Xenopus tropicalis: one gene and its partners. The protein of the gene in region 3 purifies or fractionates together with the protein of the main gene of each other region. This does not show direct contact. Links are inferred from orthologs where the notes say so. Each region holds a gene or a part of one and is shown on either strand. Other genes may lie near its edges.

Region 1 (4,261 bases), on a different chromosome or scaffold from region 3:
CAAAATGTTAGGCACCCCCAAGTGACTTTAATTGCTTACCTTGTACCCCGGGCTGGTGCCCCTGTTAGGAGAAAACAGCACCAGCCCGGGGTACCTGTAGCGAGCGGTTCCTCCTTCCTTTTGCCGGGACCCCACGACCGGCGCATGCGCAGTAGATTAAAAATTCAACTTCTCTGTTAAAGTTCAGCTTTTTCACTCGACTGCTCATGCACAAACACGCGAAGCAGGAAGCGCTGCAGCTACCCCGGGCTGGTGCTGTTCTCCCCGAACAGGGGCACCAGCCCGGGGTAAAAGGTAGGCGATTTAAGTCACTTGGGGGTGCCTAACATTTTGGCACCCCCAAGTGACTTTGCCTTTCCTTGTCCTTTAAGCTTGGTCAGATATAATACCCAGATTTCTCATTTACTTACTACACTGATAAATCTAATAGTCAGTTATACAGCACAACCCATTAGGGGAGCCTACGGTAGTGTATGAAAGTTAAAAGCAGATGTATCAACACTTGCAGAAGGCACATACTGAAAAAAGTGTCCTCCACTCAAAAAAATAATCATTAAGAAGAAAAGTCACATAACTTATCCTGATGCATCAAGCTAAGCTGATGTAATGTTTCTTCTAATTAGTAAATTAAGTTTATATGAGCCTGGCCTATGATATAGATTTTTGTTCTTGCCCTCTACAAGTTTGGTATATGCCCTCCCCAATCTGAAGACTCTGAAAAGCCAACCTGTTTACTATTTGTGGTTGGATCTCCCCTAAAAGTTTTAGGGAATGATTTAATAAAATTTTTTTTTTTTCTGGACTTGAAAGTAGTATAAACTCGACATGGTTTAAATTCTAATTAAACTCGAATTAAACTTGATCATTGTTGTATTTATAAAATGGGAGTTATTTTCGACAAACTCAAATTTATCAGGGAAAATTTCTGAAAAACTAGAATTTTTCGAGAAACAATATCAGAAAAATCGAGCACTGGCAAAAACCCATTCGTAAATCTCAACAGAAGTAAAAAAAAAAAAAACAAAAATCAACTGTTTCTTAAAATGTCTTAGTAAATGTGCCCCCTAAAGTTAATATATTTATAGGGAGTGCAATGGTTCTAGACCTCATTTCTTGAAACCCAAATGATCACATCTGGTAACCGTTTTAGTTGTATAGGGTCAAGCGAGTTTCTGGTAGTAGCCATATGCCAGTTGTTCTGGTGAGAGCCACAGAGTGGGACAATATAACGGAGAGGCATAGGGCCAGATTTATCAAAATGGGAGTTCAAAGATTTATACATAAAAATTCACCCATGTTCTTTTCATTCCTATGGGATTTTTAGAAGCATATTTATCAAAAGGTGAGTTCTAACTTTAGCCCATTGATAAATATGCTTCTAAAAATCCCATAGGAATGAATAAAAAGTGAATTTTTCTGTAGTGAGCTCTAATCTCAAATTTTGATAAATCTGCCCCCTGGAGATGTAGAATGCACATACCTGCGACTCTCATTGGACAGATACTCTGCAAACATTCGGACAGCCTGTAATTCAGGGTTGGTATTTGGCCGAATTTCATCAAGAACAACCCCATACTTGCGCTGCATGTGGAAAATAAAAGGTCATAAGACCAGGAAGAAATAAGAAGCTTCTTTTACTTAGTTATAAGTGCAGGAGGAAATAAAAAGCTTATTTTACTTATAGGTATAAGTGCAGGAGGAAATAAAAAGCTTATTTTACTTATAGGTATAAGTGCAGGAGGAAATAAAAAGCTTCTTTTACTTATAGGTATACGTGCAGGAGGAAATAAAAAGCCTTTTTTACTTATAGGTATAAGTGCAGGAGGAAATAAAAAGCTTCTTTTACTTATAGGTATACGTGCAGGAGGAAATAAAAAGCCTTTTTTACTTATAGGTATAAGTGCAGGAGGAAACAGAAAGCTTTTTTTACTTATAGGTATAAGTGCAGGAGGAAATAAAAAGCTTCTTTTACTTATAGGTATAAGTGCAGGAGGAAATAAAAAGCTTCTTTTACTTATAGGTATAAGTGCAGGAGGAAATAAAAAGCTTCTTTTACTTATAGGTATAAGTGCAGGAGGAAACAGAAAGCTTTTTTTACTTATAGGTATAAGTGCAGGAGGAAATAAAAAGCTTTTTTTACTTATAGGTATAAGTGCAGGAGGAAATAAAAAGCTTCTTTTACTTATAGGTATAAGTGCAGGAGGAAATAAAAAGCTTCTTTTACTTATAGGTATAAGTGCAGGAGGAAATAAAAAGCTTCTTTTACTTATAGGTATACGTGCAGGAGGAAAAAAGGCTACATTCACAATACTAATGACAGCTGGGTGAGAATAATGTATGATTATAATACAGAGTCTCTCTCACCTGGGCTATATATGCTCTGAACAGGAAAACGTCTCTCTCCACCTCCTTCTCTGGACTTGAAGGCTGTAAAATAAAATATTCCCACGTTACTATTTGATTATCCATCTTACCTCAGATTGTTAGCATGAGAAAAATAATAGATGTTATTGTGCCTGATTCAGTCATGCATGCTGTCGTTATATTTGTTCAATACGTATGCCCAATTTAAAAAGATTGCTGCTATGTCCACTATCCATATCCCTTCAGCCATAACTCCACGCCTCTCTGACCCAGTTTGCTGTAATCGTTAAATCACCTTTACTCTTTGCGCCTCATTAATGCACTGCTGGTAACTTCCAATATAGAAAGAATTCTTCACATCAAATAACTCGTCCACCTCTCCCTGTGCAGCCATTTCTGTATATCCCGGACACGTCAGCCGGCCAGCTTCCACAACTTCCGCCTTCCTTTACCGACTTCCGCCTCTCAGCTAAAGGCATGGCGGGAGATGTAGTACCAAAGGTCAGTTCCCGTAAGGACCAATAGAAGGGCGAGTTGTGTGACGCATTAGTTTGTGCGCCGGAATGTGCTGCTAGTGGCTATCACGCGTGTCAAGATGGAAGGGTTTTCGAGGCTTGGGTTGTCTTCCTGGCTTATCGATCAATGTAGCCAACTGGGCATATTGAAACCTAGTCCTGTACAGGAGAATTGCATCCCGCCCATCCTGGAAGGTGAGATTAGTGAATGCGAATATGATTCTTCGCGATTAAGGGGGCAGATTATCTGAGTTGTCCAGGGTGAGCAAGTCATCTACATAAGTGTTACAAATCATCTGAAAAACCAGTGATCAAAAGGTAAATGGCATAACTATATGTTAAAGGAAAGCAGCGCTAAATTTGCGGGAACCCTAACATTTAGGAGTAAGATTTAATTTAAATGTATTAATCTTCTTTTTTGTCACTGTCCCACTGGTCCCCTTTTACCTTCTGGCCCCCCGGCAGTCTCTTGAAGCGTCAGTTTCCTCCATAGTTACATTCCTATTTATAAATATATTGTGCACAGTTTTGCTTGTACCTAAGTTCGATTCATAATAATTGCATTCATCTAAAGGACATGTAAACCCCACACACAAAAATTTAATCAGTGAACAGCCTCTTTGAAATCTTTCAATACCTGCCACTCTGCTTGTCCAGAGGTTAATAGTAAGGCTGCAACATCCCCTTAATCACTTAGATTTCCTTCTCCTCCTGTAACCCACTCGCCCCCCCCCCCTTGGGAATTTGCTTTGATTCCTGCCTTGCCAGACATGCTCAGTTGTACTAAACTCAGATTACAAAATACGCCCTCCAGTCTAGCAGCCAGTGAAGAGATGGCATTGCTGGTTCCCATAGAAACTCAGCTCTAGCTGTCTGCTTCAATTTTTTCTCCTAACTTTCTCTCCTGAGCTCAGCTCAAACAAAGCAGAACGTTTATCAGACAGTTCTGCCTCTGTGAGCCTGTATTATTGATGAAATGTATGCTGAATAAGGGTCTGCGTGTGTATGCTGTTTGCAGATTTAAATGTATCTGATTATGTATCAGAGGAAAAAAGCCACCTGGTAAAAGGTCAACTATCCATTAACATCTGCACAGAAAATGTATTGTATTTTGTTGAGAACTCATGAAGTTGATGTCCTGTTAGGCCGAGACTGCATGGGATGTGCAAAGACTGGCAGTGGAAAAACAGCTGCCTTTGTGCTGCCTATTCTCCAAAAACTCTCTGAGGATCCCTTTGGAATATTTTGCCTGGTTCTGACACCAACTCGGTGAGTACAGATGCTATTATAATAGTTATTGTATAATTTTCTCATTAAAGAGAAAAAAAGTAATATTGTGGTAGAGCAAAAATTATGGTCTTTCCCTACAATGAACAACAGAT
Region 2 (4,252 bases), on a different chromosome or scaffold from region 3:
AATTAGTAATTCACTCTGATTATTCAATTGTAATAAAAGTAACAGAAGGAAAATCCTTGCTGGGGCTTATCCTCCAGGTTAAAATTGACACTGAAAATTCTAAATCCAGGTAGACAATATTTTTTGGGAAAGGCTTGAAATCCAGCAGACCTCTCACATTATACTTAAAGGGGACAAATGGTGTCAAGAAGAAGCATTTTTTCATTGCATTATACACTTCTAAATACATGTATGTACCTTTAAGTTTCCTTTGGTGTTGCTGAAAAAGTTACGTAAATGTAAAAAACTTGCTAGCACCATTCACCGAATTGAGCTGCTGCTTTCCCAGGTTGAGAAGGAGATTATGTGGCACTCAGCACTTGCATTGTAGGATGCCATTCAATCAGCAGCTAGACAGACCTGAGAGGGAACTGCAAATAATGTTCCCTGTGTGAATCAGAGCTGGGGTTGGATACCCACTATCTACTGTTCTTCTGGGGAAACCTGTTAAACTACCTCTCTGTATTAGAAATGCGCATGATGCTTTTAGTTAGATAAATGCAATATATTCCATTTTATATTTCAATAACAAACTATATTTAGCACGTTGTCCCTGCTTTTCAGTCATCTTATAGTTCAACCACCAGACGAGGATGCCCCTTGGGAAACACCGATGACCCTGAATTCAATTAATGGTTTACCACTTACCATAGGAAAGTCATTATTTGCATGTTTGTCCAAACACAAAGGAGCCAATTTACTGTGCTATACCTGGAGTTTGGAAAGCGTTAGCACTTAATGCCTGTTCTGGTTCTACCTTTTATTTGTGGTTGATGGACACGTTCACTTTCCAATTTGTGAGTGGTAACTGATACTGTCAGTATTAAACTATTTGGTTTTTAGTTGTTCTGTTCAGTTTATGCCTAGGGTGCTGACTGAGAATATAATTTATGCTACTGTTCAAAGACAGCAATGTATGATATTCTTGTTAAAGGGAATATATAAAAGGAAGAAACATGGAATAGTAATAAAAACAGAGCATAGATTCAGGCATGTATGAATTCTTTACTGAGTTAGTCCCTATCAAGGTGTCATTGACTCTGCTAGCAGATGTTACCTGTTCTTCTCAATTCCCAAACAACCTCTTTATACAATGATTCTCTTTCAAGAAACTAACATGCCATGTGTCAATATTTGGGGGAACAGTCATTCAAAAGTAGATAAACACAGCAAAGACTAAGTTTAAAGTAGACATATATCATAAATGAAATATATGGTGCTGGTTTCACTCTGGGCTAAAAATAATCATTAGCTTTAAAAATGGCCTTTTTATTAAAGCTTCCTAATGAATTTCTTTCAAGAAACTTACATGCCATGCGTCAATATTTGGGGGAACAGTCACTCAAAAGTAGATAAACACGGCAAACACTAAGTTTAAAGTAGACATATAGCATAAATGAAATATATGGTGCTGGTTTCAGGTTTCACTCTGAGATAAAAATAATCATTAGCTTTACAAAATGGCCTTTTTATTAAAGCTTCCTATGGATCTGCCTGTCCATGTTTCAAGTGGTGGTGGGGGGGGGGGGGGTATGTCCTAATGGTCCCTGCCAGAAGCACAGTAGGAGGGGCATAGCCAATCACACACGCAAATGACGATTTCAGTTCCCTATCAGGTCTGGGAAAGAAGGCAGTGGGAAGTGGAAAAAATGGGTAGGACTAGTAGGGTTTTGGATACATTTTCAATAAATCGGCCAAAAACTTCTCAGCACATTTATTCTAGATTTTGAGGTGCATAATGCACTAGAACTTTCTTGTTTTTACCCAATACAATACCCTTTAATCACAACCTGTAAAGAGAGATTCTATAAAACTATATCTGGGATATGCAATACCCCATGGGAAACAAAATCCTGCAAAAAAAAATTGTTAAGAGTTTAAATGCCTGATACAGATATTGTATTGTGTTAAAACTGTTCTATATTTCTTCTACCATCAGCCATAGCCCAACTGCTGTTGTTAAACTGCAAATAGACTAATAGCAACAATCTGACATGCATAAGCGCCAGGCCTGTCCAGTCTAACCCAAAGAGATTTCAGAATAGCCCAGACACCTTTCTTTTTCCTTAAAAGCCCAATCAATCATCTACTACTACTACTATTACTACTACTACTATTTACTATTACTACTATTACTACTACTACTATTACTACTACTATTTACTATTACTACTACTACTATTTCTACATAAAAATCAGGCAGATTAGGAAGGAAACACACACCCACACAAGGAATATCAGAAGGGGTATAGCACTATAGAGTTTGGCACACTATATTCAGAAAATGTCACTACCAGATATTTTTTATTATTTCTGTGCCAGCAGCCCTTGCCCAGTCCTGCCATTCAATAGGGGGTCCCTGGCACAGGCTCACCATGGCGTAAGGCTCAGGTGCAACATCCCTGAATGACAAAAAGTAACTACTTTGCTGCACGATATCTCCTACAGGTCCCAAAATGAATAGCTACCCTAGCGTTTGAACGTATGCTGGGAGTCACAGCCCAAAGCCTGCCACTGACAGACCCTAACCACTCGTCCCCTGTCCCTACACAGCAGCCTGGCCAGCTAAACAAACGATTGCAACCACCATAGAAAAATAAAGTTTTACCGGCCCCCTCACACTAAAATCAAAGCTATTTCCGCGGCCTCACTCACCAACAGTATAGCATCCATCTTTCTCTATCCTGCTGACGTGGAGCAAAGCGCGCGTTGGCTAATTCATCTGCCAATCAAAACTTTAGCCGCGCCTCCTCGCTCAGTCTGATTGGAACAGGAAGAAGAAGGGTGTGGCTAATAGCGTCTAAAGCTTTTTAATTGGTTGATGGTTTCAGTCACTGACAGGCGGAACACGAATGCGTCTACGTTGGAAGCGGAAGCTGCTTTTATTGGGCAAATGGTTACCATGGCGGAGGAAATAGATGTAAATTACTGTGTCACTAATAGTTTAAAGCTCCACCCTGCTGTTACGCTACAGCTCGGACATTGGAATGAATTGATAGGTCGGTTGACTTTGCGTAAAAACTGTGCTTAGTGCTCTTGGTTCCAATCCAGTGTTCTGCACTATGTTAGCCAGTTGAAAAAGTTGTAGTGTGAAACTTCTGACATGAAGCATAACAAAAGTGGCGTAGATGTGTTGTGGGTATTGGCTGCCTAAGATGATAATCTCAGCAAAGAGTTCCTTCACCAAAGCTGATTACAAAGAAGCAATGTTGGTTCTTATATACAGGATTTTGTACCCAAACAACAAGAGGAAACAAAAAGGAAAACACATAAGCATAATTAGGATGTAAGGAGAGATATGTATGGGGACGTGGGTGATGCAAAGGGGTTAGGGTTTCCACCTTTTCTGGAGAAAACTACTTACTTTACTTTTTTAAAGCAGTAAAAATAATAATGTGCTAATAAGTGAATCTTTTCATTAGGGGTCAGTGCAGTTTAAATGTAAGTTTTCTCAAAGTAACTTGCATAAGCGTAGGGGGCCAATGATGTTGCTGTGGGGCCCAATAACCAGTCATTCCACTGCTGAAAAGTTAATGTAAAGAATACTCATAGAATTCAGTAAATAGATCCCAAATAAAAACAGAGATATTACTCTATAATAAGCAGTTCATATAAATGGTTAAAATGAATAATTAATGTGCTAATAAGTCAGTTCATTGGGGGAGGTAGAATTTACCATTCATTGGTGGTTACTGGAGTTTTCCCTTCTCTGCATTGTCTTTTGCTTGTACGCAAGTTTTTATGCAAGTTACACAAGTTTCTAGGCAGGTTTAAGTTACGTAAATTGATTTAGTTTTGCCATAACTTTATATGTACGTTAGGCAATTTGCGTAACTTTCCCCACATAGCAATGGCAGCCCTGGTTATTCTTATAATATCTCACAGCCCCCTATTTTAACATTAATCATTTTCCAATATTGAATCCCTATTTAGATATTTGAGTTCGAGATTTGGAAACTCTAGTTTATAAACCTTTACTAATATTTCTGTATGTTAGTTTTTTCATTCTAATAACTACCTATTCCTTTTCCCTATTTACTGAAGGCCACACAGGCATTCAATACAATAGATAACGTTATCATTAATACACTTAATTGTTCATTGGCCCATATATGGAGCTCTTGAGTGATCCTGCCTGGTCGATATCAAGCAAGAAAGACAAAAAAGGGGGGGGGGGTGAATCTACATAGTAAACTGTGGATGGCCCCTCTAA
Region 3 (4,061 bases):
ATATGTCCATATCAACCAGATACCTGCTGCAATTCCAAACAGGAGAGCTGCTCAACAAAAAGTGAAATAATTAAAAAAAACGCTAATAGCAAATTGTCTTAGAATATTACTCTCTACATCATACTAAAAGTTAACACAAAGGTGAACAGTTCCTTTAAGCGTTTGGAGTCAGTGAGGCATGGCTAACACATTGGCACCCACTCAGTTATTTAAAGGAACAGTAACACCAAAAAATGAAAGTGTATAAAAGTAACTAAAATATAAAGTGCTGCTGCCCTGCACTGGTAAAAGTTGTGTGTTTACTTCAGAAAGTCTACTATAATTTATATAAATAAGCTGCTGTGTAGCCATGGGGGCAGCCATTCAAAGGAGAAAAGGCACAGGCACATAGCAGATAACAGATAAAACACTATTGTATTCTACAGAGCTTATCTGTTATCTGCTATGTAACCTGTGCCTTTTCTCCTTTTTTCCAGCTTGAATGGCTGCCCCCGTGGCTACACAGCAACTTATTATATAAATTATAGTAGTGTTACTGTAGCAAACACACCAGTTTTACCAGTGCAGGGCAACAGTGCATTATATTTTTATTAATTTAAAGCTCTTTCATTTTTTAGTGTTACTGTTCCTTTAAGTGCTTTTTTAGCCAAGCCTTTGTTACCTATCATAGTCAATGTCCAATTAATTATAGTTAGCTTTACATGCACATACAAGTTATACTGTTATATGCATTTTTACAGAACACAAAAAAATGTGTAAGAACAACAACAAATGGAATTCCATGTCTAATTACAGAACAAAACGTTTGGCAATTCATTCATCTGATGCCTCATATGGGAGCAAAGAGCCCACTCACAGGACTTACAAGTGACCCTGGCCTCACAGTTTGTGAAACTCTGGTGTAAAATATCCCTTTCAAATCCATATACATACTGCACTAGCCTGTTCATCTACAAGTCAGCATACATACAATTTAAAAAAAACAAACAAAAACAAAATACCATTTAAGGCGCAAGGTAACAAACTGTACATTTATACAGGTATGGGTTTATTCATATTTATCCTGTATTATATTCAGCTTTCTCCAAACTCCAACAGGGTGTAAACAATATGCAGTCATGTATTGATATTTTATATTTAGGGTTTTGTCTAGCATCCCCCCAGTTAGGAATTTCAGCAGCTACCTGGTTGCTAGGGTCCAATTTACCCTAGCAACCAGATAGTAAGTGGAGTAAATGAAAGACTAAGATCAATGAGAGAGGCCTAAACATAAAAAAATAAAAAGTAGTAATAACAACAGAATTATAGCTTCAAAAGCAGTCATTTTTAGGCTGCAGGGGTCAGTGACCCCACTTCTGAAAGCTGGAAAGAGGTAGAAGGTGACAAATATTTAAAACCTATACAAAAAAAAGACGACCAACTAAAAGATTGCTAGGAATAAGCCATTCTATGGCATACTATAACATAACTTAACGGTAAACTACACCTTTAAGGGATAATTAAGCAGATGGCATATGGACATTATTAACTGGAGCGATGCTCAGGAGAAAAAGCAGTTAGAATGCCTTTTATCTGCTGTCACGGATTCCAATACAGATGTATGAAAATACCCTGCCGACAATAGCCAGAGACCAGCACAGCAATTGCCCACTTTACCTAACAGCCCAGCATTCCCGGCTATAAATGGGGGCAGAGGCCTTGAGGACTGAATGGCTGTATTACTACAAATATGGGCTAATGTTTTAACAAGTTGGGCGTGCATACATTTTTCCCAAAATCTACTGCCATAACTGTAATTTAATTGTTAAAACGGAAATCCCTACCCAAAAAAAAACTTTCTTTGCACAATGAGAAAAAGTGTAATTCTAAGAACGATCCAATATATGTACAAAATGATACAATTTCAATTGTTTAAAACATCTGTAAATGTCACTGCAATCACAAAGAGCTGTTTTTTTTTAAAATCCCTTTCTGTTCTGGGTCTGACTCTTGAAACACTGCTGCACAAGTTTCTTTCTGGTTCTACCAGGTTCTGTGATCAGTTAGGGTGACACACGAAGCTACTAGTTGCAGCTACTTGTCACAGCTACTAAAATAGACAGTACTGATCATTTACCGATAACTGTCTATGTGTGTTTTAGCAGAGGCAATTCTCAGTATTGTCCATGGCAGGGGATTTTCTGGAGTTTAGTAGCCATGAAAAAGTAGCTGCTACCGTACTAGTGTGTCTTCACCCTTAGACAGAAGTGCAAAGAATATAAAGAGAGAGGTTTTTGGAGGAGATTCACTTTAAACTCCACTTCCAATAGTAATTACAATGGGGCTACAGAGAGTTGTGAGTTGGCCAGCAGAGAGGCCACATACGGAAGGGTGCCCGGCCATGACATATGAGGGCTTATAACACCAGATCTAGTACCCGATCTAGTACCAGATCTAGCACTCCAGATGCCACTATGTGGAAACAGGACCTACATTAAGTAGTAATTATTGTTATAACCATCGAGACAGTAACGCAGCCCTTACGTAGCATGTCTATAAGGGGAAATCATACAACAGGGCAGCTGAAAGTAACAGTCGGGTTGTTATATTAGTTACAAGCTCAAGACATGCCTTTTGGGGCTCACTAGTCTATAACACTGGGGCGGCGCACTGACACACAATCAGAGCATCCCAGAACTTCTTATTTCCAACTTCTGACAACCATGCATTTATGATTACCGTCGCCCCAGTTGTTTAATAAACCTATAATACTAATCCTTCAACAGCCTTACTCACCATTTCCCCGGTTCTTCGGTCCCTGTCTGACTGACGTGGAGCTTCCGGGAACCTAAGGAATTATCGCGACACCAGCTAGCCATGTACTTCCGGCGGCTGCAGAAGGCTTCAGTAGTAAAGTAAGTCGGCCATCTTGCGGCGGAAGTAAAGTGGAATGCGTGTGACGTGGCGGGTTTCGGAGAGTAGCTCCATGGGCTGGTTTGGAAGATGTGTCGCTTGAAACAAAAACGAGTTCATTTATTCTTCGGACGGCAGGGGGAGATGTGATAAAACATAATTTATATTTCGTACGGCAGGGGGCGTTATGAGAAAATATAGTTGTTCAAAGCATATTAAGCGCCGAAAAACCCGGAAGTACAAAAGCGCTTCCAATACGTGTGAATAAAATACATCGTTGCAGTGTGGATCCGTGGCGCTATTTATTGATTAGTACAGGGCGCATTAACTTGTCGCAACCAATTAGCTATTGGGTTTAATGCCCCTGCCGAAGGAAGAATAATAGATTCAGAAGTATACGTTGTCTCGGCTTTGCCTTGTTAGGAATGAAGCCCTTGTGTGTTTCTTTACAGTGCGTTATGTATATTTGTTTAGGGACTGCCTCAAAAAGGAACACCTGTGAGGACCGCAGACCCCCCGCCAGTGGTGCTAAGGGCGCTAACTGTCAGATCAGCCAGCATCAAATCACTAAATTCCCCAGAGATTTTTATTTCAACGTTGACTTCTCTGGGACTCCATTGAGCCCTTTATATTACAGGTATAGGACCCATTATCCAGAATGCTGGGACCTGGGGTTTTCCAGATAAGGGGTCTTTCCGTAATTTGGGCTCTGGCACACGGGGAGATTAGTCGCCCGCAACAAATCTCCCTGTTCGCGGGCGACTAATCTCCCCGTGTTGCCATCAGTTGCCATCCCACCGGCGAACATGTAAGTCGCCGGTGGGATGGCACACGCGGCAGCGCGATTTCGGCAAATCGCCGAAAATGCCACACGAGGCAACTTCGGCAATTTGCCGAAATCGCCTGCGCAGCGTGTACCATCCCACCGGCGACTTACATGTTTGCCGGTGGGATGGTAGTTTGGGGAGATTAGTCGCCCGTGACAAGGGAGATTTGTCGCGGGCGACTAATCTCCCCGTGTGCCAGAGCCCTTAGTCTACTAAAAACTTGATAACACATTAGACACAATAGGATTTTTTTTTTTATCCAATAAGGATTAATTATGTCTTAGTTGGTATCAAATACTTGCTGCTGTTTTATTATTACAGAGGAAAAGGAAATCAATTTAA
Region 4 (4,058 bases), on a different chromosome or scaffold from region 3:
TGCCAGGATCTCAGTATAAGTATCCTCCCCTTAATTACATCATCAAATAGTGACAAACTACATTAACCATCAGCCCCAGTGGAACAGCCCATAATAAATAAAGACCAATTATCACACATCGCTATTAACACACCAAAATGACTGTCTGGTCTCTTGGCATTGTGTGCCTCTTGTTCTTAGAATCTAGCCCTGTGAGTAGCAATACAACCTCCATGAGCATTCTGCTGTGTAGTTCTTCACTGTTTGATGTTGTAGGGTGCTTATACTGGGACCCTGGCTGATAACGTAATCAGGGGGTGGGTTCTTGAGCATTTAAAACTTGCACTTGACAAAGGGGTTATCCCTGAAACATGTGTATGTATCTTCAGCCCTGGTACTAACACAGTGGTGCAATGGTTACTCAGTAAAAGTTTTTCTGTGATCCTAATCCATACATGCAGTAGGGCAACTAGGAAAGGGATGCTGGCCCTGTTTGAGGCCAAAATTCAATGGGGGGGGGGATTAAGTTCCCTCCTTGCCCCTATTTGCGGATGTCCATGGAAGAACTGCACTTTAAATTGGATACATAAGGACAAATGAATTAGGCATATACATTTATAGTTAGAGAAAAGCAACCCACTTGTGTCTGTAATGGCTAATACAGCACCGTGTGATTTAACCAGGTGGCACAAGCCACAATGAAAGACTGCAAGCCCTCCCTCACTGGCCAGCACAGACGTGCCATTTGCTGAGGCGGCTTTCCATCTATAGGAAAGTCAGAGGCTTTAAGGCCTGTTTATTAATTGGACTGTTTCTGCATATACCGATATGAACAAAAGGTAAAATATATCAGTTACCGGATTCCTCGTCCTTCTTGTCAAATTTCTTGATCATTTTCATAGATGGGCACGTTAGAGGCCAATCTCAGTGGCAGAGTTTCACCCCTCTCACCCCCCCCGGCTGTGCGTGCTGCGTGAGCAAGCCGGCTCCCCTCCTTCTCAGGGGCAGTGAGTGGTTGTCAGGCAACACAGGAAGAGGCGTGCTGCTGTGAGAAACAAGTGACAGTAAGAGTTCATAAAGCAACAGCGGCCACAAAAACACATGCCTACAGGGAACCTTATGGGTAGAGTCCTGCTCAGTGCTTTTGATTCTGCTTGCGCAGACTGGCCTTTTTTCATCGCCCCTTGCAGCATGGAGCTCCAGCTCAGTCAGCCAACAGTATCTGAGATCGCTGCTGCTAGTAGGTCTCCTGCGAGAAAAGCAGCATCCCCCCCCTTATGTACCTTTGTGTGAATGAAGCCCAAATAGGGCTGAAATGAATTTAGGCTGGGACCCCTTCCCCCTTTAGCCATATGGTCATTCGGGCAGGGCCTGCTCCCTCCCCCGGCCAGCTCCAGGTAGAACAATAGAAGGGTGAGCAGTGGAGGGAAAGAGAGGAGGGGGCTAGGGGAGGGGACTTAGGCAGAGCAAGGTATGTAATGGGATGTGTTTGTTAAGGATACATTCTTACTTGTTTCTTGTCCACAAGCCACCTAGGATGTTAATGACTTGTGCCTAAGACACACCAACTTGGCAAATTGCATTAGAATAGCATTAAACAATATACCAGAAGTTTATTGCAAGATCAACTTACCCATTAACAGTATAGAGATAGAATATAATGTCTGATATATTACACAATTCACAACTGTATGCCCTTTTTGGAAAGATTATTAAATCTTTCCAAAATGAAACATGCCACAAATAAATGGAACTTTTACACTTTCAGTGTGCAACTGCTCGTTCTGTCAGTAATCTTCTAAAGATTCTTGAGATGAGATATTTGCAGGGGAAGGGGGTGGAGAACAGCAGAACAATCATGGAGGTTGTACTGCTACTTGCAGAGGGTGTTTCTAAGAACAAGAGGCACACACTGCCAGGATCTCAGTATAAGTATCCTCCCCTTAATTACATCATCAAATAGTGACAAACTGCATTAACCATCAGCCCCAGTGGAACAGCCCATAATAAATAAAGACCAATTATCACACATCGCTATTAACACACCAAAATGACTGTCCGGTCTCTTGGCATTGTGTGCCTCTTGTTCTTAGAATCTACCCCTGCAAGTAGCAATACAACCTCCATGAGCATTCTGCTGTGTAGTTCTTCACTGTTTGATGTTGTAGGGTGCTTATACTGGGACCCTGGCTGATAATGTAATCAGGGGGTGGGTTCTTGAGCATTTAAAACTTGCACTTGACAAAGGGGTTATCCCTGAAACATGTGTATGTATCTCCAGCCCTGGTACTAGCACAGTGGTGCAATGGTTACTCAGTAAAAGTATTTCTGTGATCCTAATCCATACATGCAGTAGGGCAACTAGGAAAGGGATGCTGGCCCTGTTTGAGGCCAAAATTCAATGGGGGGGGGGGATTAAGTTCCCTCCTTGCCCCTATTTGCAGATGTCCATGGAAGAACTGCACTTTAAATTGGATACATAAGGACAAATGAATTAGGCATATACATTTATAGTTAGAGAAAAGCAACCCACTTGTGTCTGTTATGGCTAATACAGCACCGTGTGATTTAACCAGGTGGCACAAGCCACAATGAAAGACTGCAAGCCCTCCCTCACTGGCCAGCACAGACATGCCATTTGCTGAGGCGGCTTTCCATCTATAGGAAAATCAGAGGCTTTAAGGCCTGTTTACTAATTGGACTGTTTCTGCATACACCGATATGAACAAAAGGTAAAATATATCACTGTTACCGGATTCCTCGTCCTTCTTGTCAAATTTCTTGATCATTTTCATAGATGGGCACGTTAGAGGCCAATCTCAGTGGCAGAGTTTCACCCCTCTCACCCCCCCGGCTGTGCGTGCTGCGTGAGCAAGCCGGCTCCCCTCCTTCTCAGGGGCAGTGAGTGGTTGTCAGGCAACACAGGAAGAGGCGTGCTGCTGTGAGAAACAAGTGACAGTAAGAGTTCATAAAGCAACAGCGGCCACAAAAACACATGCCTACAGGGAACCTTATGGGTAGAGTCCTGCTCAGTGCTTTTGATTCTGCTTGCGCAGACTGGCCTTTTTTCATCGCCCCTTGCAGCAGGGAGCTCCAGCTCAGTCAGCCAACAGTATCTGAGATCGCTGCTGCTAGTGGGTCTCCTGCGAGAAAAGCAGCATCCCCCCCTTATGTACCTTTACAACAGATGCTTGCTGAGGGTCAGCCAGTGCCACTCAATAGTTATGTCATGTGTCTTTTGTACAGTCTGCTTTAGTGTCACTCCTGGTGTAGTCCCTGCTCTGACAGGCACAGGAGTACCTGAAGTTTGTTTAAAAGTTGCCATTGTATGGCAACCTACGCCTTTAGGTTTGCATTAGTCTGATGCAGGGCGGTATTATGTGGAAACTTTATAGTTATTGCCTGCAGCAAAGGATTTCATAAAAAGTTATGTTCGGGGAGACTAGAAGGGGGCCAACTGCTAGGACATTTACCAATTGGCTCCAAGCATTTTTGGCAGTATTTTCTCTGCAAAATTACCTCAGTTGGCATCTCAATTTTTTAGGCACTTTGACATTATAAATAAATCTTATAAAAGCTACAGGGTTTTTCTTGGGCCACGGTCCTAGTGGGCCCCAGCGGCCCAAACCCGACCCTTGCCAGTGCTCCCCAGGGTCGGACTGGGCCGCCGGGACACCGGGAAAAATCCCGGTGGGCCCCGGCCCTAGTGGGCCCCAGCGGCCCAGTCCGACCTTTGCCGGCGCTCCCCGCTACTGACTGTTCCTCCCCGACGCGTTCAATTTATACGCGCTCGGGGAGGACGTCAGGCGGGGGCCCTTCGGGGGGGTTAGGGGGGCCCTTGGGGGGGTTAGGGGACGCGGCAGGGGCACCTGCAGGGCCCCTGGGGCGGGAGCCCCGGTGGGCCCTGCACCCCCCAGTCCGACCCTGGTGCTCCCCCTGCCTGACTGTTCCTCCCTGCGTTAAATGTATGCGTGCTTGGGGAGGACTTTGTGTGGGGGCCCCTGCAGGGTGGGGGGGTTAGGGGACGTGGCCGACAGGGGCACCTGCAGGGCCCCTGGGCGGGAGCCCCGGTGGACCCT
Region 5 (4,158 bases), on a different chromosome or scaffold from region 3:
ATAACATAGGCACATTATTTAAATAAATGCAAATAATGTATTGCAAATCATGTAGTGATTTCAGGCTTTCTACACTTGGGTTGATTAGTAGGTTGGTTTTAATCCTAGCCCACAGCATGCATTAATAATGAGCAGGTCAGGAAAAGCTCCACCCTGACCCCAAGTCATAAAATACTGCCATTGTAGGACCCGCACCCAACCTGTACCAGTGTCTTTCCACTCCGTACACTACTTCTGAGTGCGCCTCTGGTTTTAAGAGAGGAACACTTCTGAAGCAGAGGAGGCCTGTACTTCCCCAGTCTGACCTGCACACAAAATTAAGTTATGTTTTAAAATCAAACTTGAAATAAATACTAGACACTATAAAAAGAAAAAAGAGCAATAAAACTGCACAGTGTATCTGGTTACAGTGTCAAAGTTAAGTGACTACCACACCACATTTTTTTAGTTGTAGGCTGGAAAGAGAAAAAAAAAACAAAAAACATACAAACACATAGATAATGAAGACCAATTGAAAAGTAAATTATACTAAGTCTACTCAGGGCCACCATGAGAGGTAATCCTATCAGGGGCCCTATGGTAGAAGGGTACCCAACATGAAGATGTGAGTCTAACATGGAGTGGGCAAGGTTTGTTCATACTATCGGTGAGGTTTTGGCATAAAGGGGTGTGGCTGATGCAGATAAGCGGCAATAAGCCCCATTCTATTTGCTGTCATGGCTCACCACCCAGAGGCCTACTTGGCAGTATGCGGCCCATTAATTACTGATGACAATATCAGGGTAGTTTCAGTAAGGTATCCACAGGCGTCATTATAGGACCTAGATCATACAAGTACTGGCTTCCAGGGCTGTGGAGTCGGTAGATAAATTCTCCGACTCCGACTCCTCAGTTTCTGATACTTCCGACTCCGACTGTTTTTAATATGCTAATGTATTTTATACATTCATTGAATGAAAGGAAGGAGACATACATGTCATTTAACCACAGAACTACTGGCTCTGCATTGGGCTTTATTCTTATAGCAGAGAAGTAATTAATTATGACTGTTTGTGAATTGGGACATTTAAACTTGCTTTTTTTTTTTTTATTCCCATTTAAATTTAGTAGGAGTCAGAGTTGGTTCATTTTTTGCCGACTCCAGGTACTCAAAATTGCCGCGGACTCCAGGTACTCAAAATTGCCTCCGACTTCAACTCCACAGCCCTGCTGGCTTCTTTGATGTACAATGGAAGAGACTTTTGTTTATTGGTTAAATAATAATATATCTAGATGCTGATGGGAGATAAAAAGCCTTAAGGAAAACTGCAACATTCTTAAATTTATAATAAAATAGTACAAATGATAAACAGCACATACAAAACTGCGGTGCAGTTGCTGATGGCAACAAACACAGAGCTCTTACATTGATGTACAAACATATGGACGGAATATCACTAAAATAACTTCAGCCTTAAGGTGCCCATACACTATAAGATCCGCTCGCTTGGCGATGTCACCAAGCGAGCGGATCTTCACCCGATATCCCCACCTACGGGTGGGCGATATCGGGTAGCAAGGGACTTGAAAAAAAAATAATCCGATTGTTCAACAATCGGATTACATTTGAGCTTATGGGGCAGTCGGTTCGGGGACCGCATCAACGAGCCGATGCGGTCCCCGATCCGACCGGATTTTCTAACCTGGCCAATCGAGATCTGGCCAATTTCAGGCCAGATATTGGTCGGCCAGGCAGCTCTGTTCTGCCCATACACGGGCCGATTAGCTGCCGAATCGGTCCAAGGGACCGATATCGGCAGCTATAGTCGGCCTGTGTATGGGCACCTTTAAAGAAGGTGCTTAATTACTCAGCCCTGGCAAATACAACATATAATACAGAGCTGAACCATACCTGCTTCTCTCTAAATGGATTAGGCCATGCCATTTTATGTTTACACCCTGCGCCCATTTTGCACGTGTGCATTCGGCATGCAAATTTTCACAAGGCATTTTTCCCACATACAGTTTTATATCTATAACCTATTGGTATCGGGGGGTTAATATGATTCAAAGCATACCCATTAACTAGCATGGGGCTGCATTTGCAAACAGATGCACCTTATGGGCAGCAGTGTAATGGACTGCCAAGAACAGAATAAGGTGGTGGCTCTAAAACACAAGGGCACGGCCAGTATTCCAGCTTTAATTTACATTGTTACTAGCACACTGGGTACAGGCTCCCCAATACTCTGAATTAAATATATAGTAACTCCTACAACATGAAGGAATGCCCTAGAACAGACATATCCAATATGGCCTTTCTTATTAAAACGACCAATCCCAGCAGGCTTTATGGGATTCCTGGTGTAGACCCGATGTATAGGTATTGTGAGAGTTATTAGAGTAACGCTAGGGCCCCGTCCAGCTGTTCTACCAGTGTAGCACACACCTGATGCCTTCCTAGGTCACAGACACGGGCTTGGATTCCACTGAACTGCACAACCCGTCCCTCTTGGGTTCTGCCTTTTGCATGGCTGCCAGTGTATCCCCACACAGAGCCAGGGGCCTGAGTACCATGCACTCCCTGCTGCCGGTGTGGGCCAGTGACAGCGTTCGCCATTTAAACAGACATATAAGGGCAATAAATAAAACGCGACACAATAGTGCAAACCCCCCATATCACTCACCCGACTCCTCATCCTTTTTATCGAACTTCTTCAGCATCTCTGCCCCTCAGTCAGAACCAGGCCACTTCCTGCCAGGCTGTCACCGGGACACGTCACTCCTGACAACGTAACCTACGCATGCGCACTAACAAGCAGTGCGATTGGCGCGGACAGAGCATGCCTAGAACGGTAAATGCTTGTTCAACGCATGCGCACTGTTAGCGGAAGCGACTGAATTGAAACCGGAACTGCTTGTGAATAGCGCACGCAATAAGGGACAAATGTACACCGGAAGTTCGAGGAAAAGTATGAGCCAGGCAAAATAGGTTTTTATTTTTGAGTTTACATCGCCTTAGAAAGTTGCTTGGAAGTCCAAGTAACTTTCTAAAACGATGTAAGCCCAAAAATAAAACTTGGCCTGTTGAAAGGAAATACAGTTCTAAGCAACTTTCTAATATGTATTCAGATTTTTAATGCTTTACAGGTAAATATAAATCACAATATTCGTACAGGGAGGCAGGATTCTTGTGTAATTGTATTATTCATTTTGACGTTTAAATAAAGGCAAATAAAAGCATTTTTATAAGTAGTACCTATGGAATGGATCTCTCCTCTTTTGACATGCACATAGAGTTGCCACTTGTTTATTGTTGACCTGCACAGTTCAGCTTTACTTAGGGCTATTTGGATCTTAACTGTCTGGGATTCAGCCTTGTGAAACCAAAACAATAATCTGGCCACTAACCACCTCTGATGTCAAGGCCTGCCCCCAAAATGTACAAATACACTTCCAAATATCACATCTGCACCCTCTTATGTCACCGCTCTGCCTCTGATGTCATCATCCCAACATTTTGTCTGTTTTTTTGCTGAGGTCAAAGGTGGCAATCCTTAATGCACACTGTGCCCCCTCAATACTGCCCTATTTGCCTTACCTGTTCCAAAATTAGCACCGCAGGTAGGGTGGGGCCCTGGCTGTCACTTTGTGCCACTGCAAGAAGGTGTCCTCCAACCCCACAGTATTGGGTAGGGTGGAGGGAGACGTCCTCCAGGGGTAGAATTAAAAAATGCTATTAGTTCTTCTTTAAGGCTGTGACAGATGGGGAGTTTAGTCGCCTGTGACAAATCTCCCTTGTCGTGGGCAACTAATCTCCCTGAAATGCCATCCCACCGGCTAGAATGTAAATCGCCAGTGGGATGGCATACGCGGCGCCGCGATTCCCCGAAATCGCAGAAGTTTCCTCTCAAGACAACTTCGGCGATTTTGGGAAATTGTGGCACCACATATGCCATTCCACTGGCGATTTACATTCTAGCCGGTGGGATGGTTTTTCGGGGAGATTAGTCGCCCATGACAAGGGAGATTTGTTGTGCAGTGACTAATCTTGCCGTCTGTTACAGCCCTTAAAGTTTTTTTTTTTTGCAAGGTTAATGATTCAGGGTAGAATTGGAGAGATCTTTGTCCAAATGGATGGAATGTTTTCAAAATGCTAGAGGTTGTCAGGTATCAAAA
Region 6 (3,104 bases), on a different chromosome or scaffold from region 3:
AATGAGAATCAATTGCTAAACCCATATTTACTATCTAAATTGCTTTATATTGTGCCTTGTTAGAATCACTTACGGTAGAGGAATGGTAATGACAACATCATTCAGTTCCAGCCTTTCTTCCTGGAGTTCATATTCTATGTTAACATCACAGCCATTCCCACTTTCTGATGGCCAACAGTTAACTAAGGTAAGAAAAAGACATTTGAACACATATTAAAAAGTTTTGTTAGCAACTGTATTTAATTAATTTCACAAACATTCAATGCATTTGCTAGATGGCAACTGTACAGTCTGTTCTTTAAAGGAACAGTTCAGTGTAAAAATAAAACTGGGTAACTAGATAGGCTGAGCAAAATAAAAAAATAGTTTGAAAATATTTAGTTTGCCAAAAATGTCAGATGTGGGCCTGATAAATGTGAAAGCAGTTGTTTTCCAGGCCGACCTTCGATGAGCTCTGCGTGCCCACATTAGGCAGCTACTGTACTGTAGCAGGACCGAGAGAAGCGGATCTATACATACTGTGTGCCCTTGCCCTTAGCATTTGCGGTGTCACTTACACTCAAAAATTTGCCTAATGAGCAGATGGGGAGCTGCTGCATAGAAATTTGAAGGCATGGATTATTGTTTTTATCTTCGCCAGGTGTTGTACGGTTGGTATAAAAAACAGCATTTTAAAGCATTTTATTTTTTTATTTTTTTTCCTTTAGCCTGCACTGCTGAAGTTTATATTATGAGAAATAAATGCATGTTTTTTTCACTTTACCAACATATACTTTTTGTATCTTACATGCTGTGTACAGCTAATTATTCCTATTACTGAGTGTGTATTAGAACAATTGACTATAGTTTGAATTTGGATGTCCTGTCTGCAACCTTAAACCACGTAAAAGTGTACATGAAAGGATCTGCAGTTAATACTGTCCTGCATAATAGCACACTGAATGTTAAAACACAGTACTTACTGGTGAGGGGAATAAAAGACTCATCTGTGGTCTGCAGTCTCCACTTCAAGACACCCACGTCACTATTCAGAGGGAAGGATTTTTCTGGGTTTTTCAGCCCAATTACCGAATCCGAAGTGAAAAGTTTTTTGTCCACATTGGGATGAGTCTGAGACAAGAAAGCGAAGTTATACAAAACAATATGTAGCAGCCATCCATAACCTTAGACTGTCTACAAAAAGTTTTGACCATTTAAAACTGGAGCTTCAGCTCTTAGTTTTTCAGCCATGCAACCAATCATTTAATTTACAAACAAGCACTATTCAGTACAACTGTAAAGCAGTGTACTAAGCATGTTATACAAATGTTTAGTATACTTGTTTGATCATTCAATTCTCATATTAAAGGACTTGAAAACCCTCAAAAAATTTTTTTGCCTAATTAAAGAAAACATAATTCCAGGCAACTTTCCAATGTGAAAGTTTTTTTTTAATTGAAAAATTTTATAAATTAAATTGCTATTGAAAGCAGCATTTACTTTTTAAACAATGTTGCAAAGGTCAGTCTGCTCCAGCAAGACAGGTCTGTCAGTCTGCTGGCATGTGTTACATTGTTTCAAATGCCAGAGCCACCAGGGAAAATAATAGAAAAGGTAAAGTAATGAATGTATATTGCAAAGTTGCTTACAATTTTTTCTTTTATCAGGCAAAAAAATATATTTTCGATTGACTTTTCCTTTAATCCATTTGTGAACCATGAAAGACAGTTTATTTCAGTAATTCAAATACAGATGCTTCCTAACCTGCAGTTGTACTCCTTTTTTATCTTCATTTTCAATGTGCACACGGATCCTGCCAAACTTATCATCTGTCACTCTGAGCATAATCAGCCCGTGAACCTCCATATTCTGAAGTCCTCCATCCCGGCTGCAAGTAAGGGAAATTTTTTCTTCAACCCTCAAGTGAACACTGTAGATGAAAATAAAGAATATACTCAGAAGTCAAAAACAGCACAAATCTGCTCACCAAAAGAAAAATCAAAGACCCTGTTGGGAGATGCAAAGCAGAGGTAGGGATTCTAGCACAAAATACTAAAGTTTTACTAAGTTTGCTATTGTGGTAAGTCCTTTAACATGAGAGTGGTTACCAACAATTTATAACATGTTAAATAATAAGCTGCCAAAATGTTGGTTTGCTACAGGCAGCTCGAACATAAAAATCTAAAAAGCTGTTGCAAACTGTATACATACAGCATAGAAGTTTATAACAGAGAATAGAGCTTTTAATCAATAAATGGATTTCTCTAAAATGGTGCATTTCATCCCCTCTCAACAAATGTGAATGCTAAAGGGATACGGTCATCAAATAAATCGCACCTTTTGTAATAATTTGTGAAGTTTTGATTGTTCTGCCTTTGCTAGCCTTTCTTCAAATGTTGAGAAAACAAATATTGAATTCTTCCCACTTAAATCACACAATCTAATTTCTATAAGAAATGCAAAATACTGAGCATAAATAACTGTTTTTATATATACAAAGAAAATACTGGATAAAACCTCTTTCACCACAACTGATATTACAAAATATCAGACTTCCTGTCCCCATAAATTCCCAACACTGACCTCTCCATGTTCACGGGAGGAGCAAGCACCTTGGCCACTTCTGACTGCCTCTTGCCAGATGAAGGGGTGACAATAGTTTCTCCTTCAGATTTTAATTTGTCCACAAAGTTATCCACCTCCTTCCCTTTAGCTCCAAGTTTCAGGGCTTTGCCAGAACCAGATGGCCTACAGGGGGCAAGACAATATGTTGCACATAAAAACCTTTTTAAAGCCATAATTCTACAATTCCCATTCCATCATTTTAAATATTATACAGTTCATTTGGTTTGCAATAACACTTTACAATTGTATTTTGCTTGTATACCGTGATGGAACAGGGGCACTCTTTGTTTTCTCTGGTTCTATAATGGTCTCTGTAATCAGCGAAACTGCATTGTTAGACATGGAGGAACCACCCGAACTTCCAAACCCTCCAAATCCAGGAGCCTTCTTGCCCTGCCGCTCTGCATCCCTTCTAGCCTGCTGAAGCTCCTTGGCTTTGCGTCGCATCTCTGCCTTGGCTTCTCTTTCCTGTGTCTGTAAAGAGTGCAGAAAGAAAGGTG

What was found.
Region 1: the proteins of copb2 (region 3) and cope purify together in Homo sapiens (affinity purification with mass spectrometry; 4 studies listed by BioGRID and IntAct, with this or other methods). This does not show direct contact. The link is inferred for Xenopus tropicalis from reciprocal best matches to the Homo sapiens genes COPB2 and COPE.
Region 2: the proteins of copb2 (region 3) and copz1 fractionate together in Homo sapiens (co-fractionation; 6 studies listed by BioGRID and IntAct, with this or other methods). This does not show direct contact. The link is inferred for Xenopus tropicalis from reciprocal best matches to the Homo sapiens genes COPB2 and COPZ1.
Region 4: the proteins of copb2 (region 3) and copg2 fractionate together in Homo sapiens (co-fractionation; 4 studies listed by BioGRID and IntAct, with this or other methods). This does not show direct contact. The link is inferred for Xenopus tropicalis from reciprocal best matches to the Homo sapiens genes COPB2 and COPG2.
Region 5: the proteins of copb2 (region 3) and copg1 purify together in Homo sapiens (co-immunoprecipitation; 8 studies listed by BioGRID and IntAct, counting the BioPlex papers as one, with this or other methods). This does not show direct contact. The link is inferred for Xenopus tropicalis from reciprocal best matches to the Homo sapiens genes COPB2 and COPG1.
Region 6: the proteins of copb2 (region 3) and arcn1 fractionate together in Homo sapiens (co-fractionation; 5 studies listed by BioGRID and IntAct, with this or other methods). This does not show direct contact. The link is inferred for Xenopus tropicalis from reciprocal best matches to the Homo sapiens genes COPB2 and ARCN1.

The regions. Positions count from the first base shown.
Region 1 is NC_030677.2:112,615,111-112,619,371, forward strand, and holds the start of cope (coatomer subunit epsilon), read right to left. Parts: upstream 2,801-4,261; 5' UTR 2,759-2,800; coding exon 2,660-2,758; intron 2,428-2,659; coding exon 2,365-2,427; intron 1,582-2,364; coding exon 1,481-1,581; intron 1-1,480. Other genes in the region: probable ATP-dependent RNA helicase DDX49, read left to right, coding at 2,960-3,074, 4,025-4,148. UniProt on the Homo sapiens protein: The coatomer is a cytosolic protein complex that binds to dilysine motifs and reversibly associates with Golgi non-clathrin-coated vesicles, which further mediate biosynthetic protein transport from the ER, via the Golgi up to the trans Golgi network.
Region 2 is NC_030678.2:145,584,085-145,588,336, forward strand, and holds the start of copz1 (coatomer subunit zeta-1), read right to left. Parts: upstream 2,801-4,252; 5' UTR 2,713-2,800; coding exon 2,695-2,712; intron 1-2,694. UniProt on the Homo sapiens protein: The coatomer is a cytosolic protein complex that binds to dilysine motifs and reversibly associates with Golgi non-clathrin-coated vesicles, which further mediate biosynthetic protein transport from the ER, via the Golgi up to the trans Golgi network.
Region 3 is NC_030681.2:128,433,805-128,437,865, forward strand, and holds the start of copb2 (coatomer subunit beta'), read right to left. Parts: upstream 2,801-4,061; 5' UTR 2,779-2,800; coding exon 2,776-2,778; intron 1-2,775. UniProt on the Homo sapiens protein: The coatomer is a cytosolic protein complex that binds to dilysine motifs and reversibly associates with Golgi non-clathrin-coated vesicles, which further mediate biosynthetic protein transport from the ER, via the Golgi up to the trans Golgi network.
Region 4 is NC_030679.2:86,687,571-86,691,628, reverse strand, and holds the start of copg2 (coatomer subunit gamma-2), read right to left. Parts: upstream 2,801-4,058; 5' UTR 2,775-2,800; coding exon of another isoform or gene 2,732-2,774; intron 1,479-2,731; exon of another isoform or gene 1,263-1,478; intron 1,025-1,262; exon of another isoform or gene 1,022-1,024; 5' UTR 880-1,021; coding exon of another isoform or gene 874-879; coding exon 837-873; intron 1-836. UniProt on the Homo sapiens protein: The coatomer is a cytosolic protein complex that binds to dilysine motifs and reversibly associates with Golgi non-clathrin-coated vesicles, which further mediate biosynthetic protein transport from the ER, via the Golgi up to the trans Golgi network.
Region 5 is NC_030680.2:135,688,518-135,692,675, forward strand, and holds the start of copg1 (coatomer subunit gamma-1), read right to left. Parts: upstream 2,801-4,158; 5' UTR 2,704-2,800; coding exon 2,667-2,703; intron 1-2,666. UniProt on the Homo sapiens protein: The coatomer is a cytosolic protein complex that binds to dilysine motifs and reversibly associates with Golgi non-clathrin-coated vesicles, which further mediate biosynthetic protein transport from the ER, via the Golgi up to the trans Golgi network.
Region 6 is NC_030683.2:80,549,730-80,552,833, forward strand, and holds part of arcn1 (coatomer subunit delta), read right to left. Parts: intron 3,079-3,104; coding exon 2,867-3,078; intron 2,728-2,866; coding exon 2,563-2,727; intron 1,910-2,562; coding exon 1,744-1,909; intron 1,111-1,743; coding exon 963-1,110; intron 183-962; coding exon 74-182; intron 1-73. UniProt on the Homo sapiens protein: Component of the coatomer, a cytosolic protein complex that binds to dilysine motifs and reversibly associates with Golgi non-clathrin-coated vesicles, which further mediate biosynthetic protein transport from the ER, via the Golgi up to the trans Golgi network.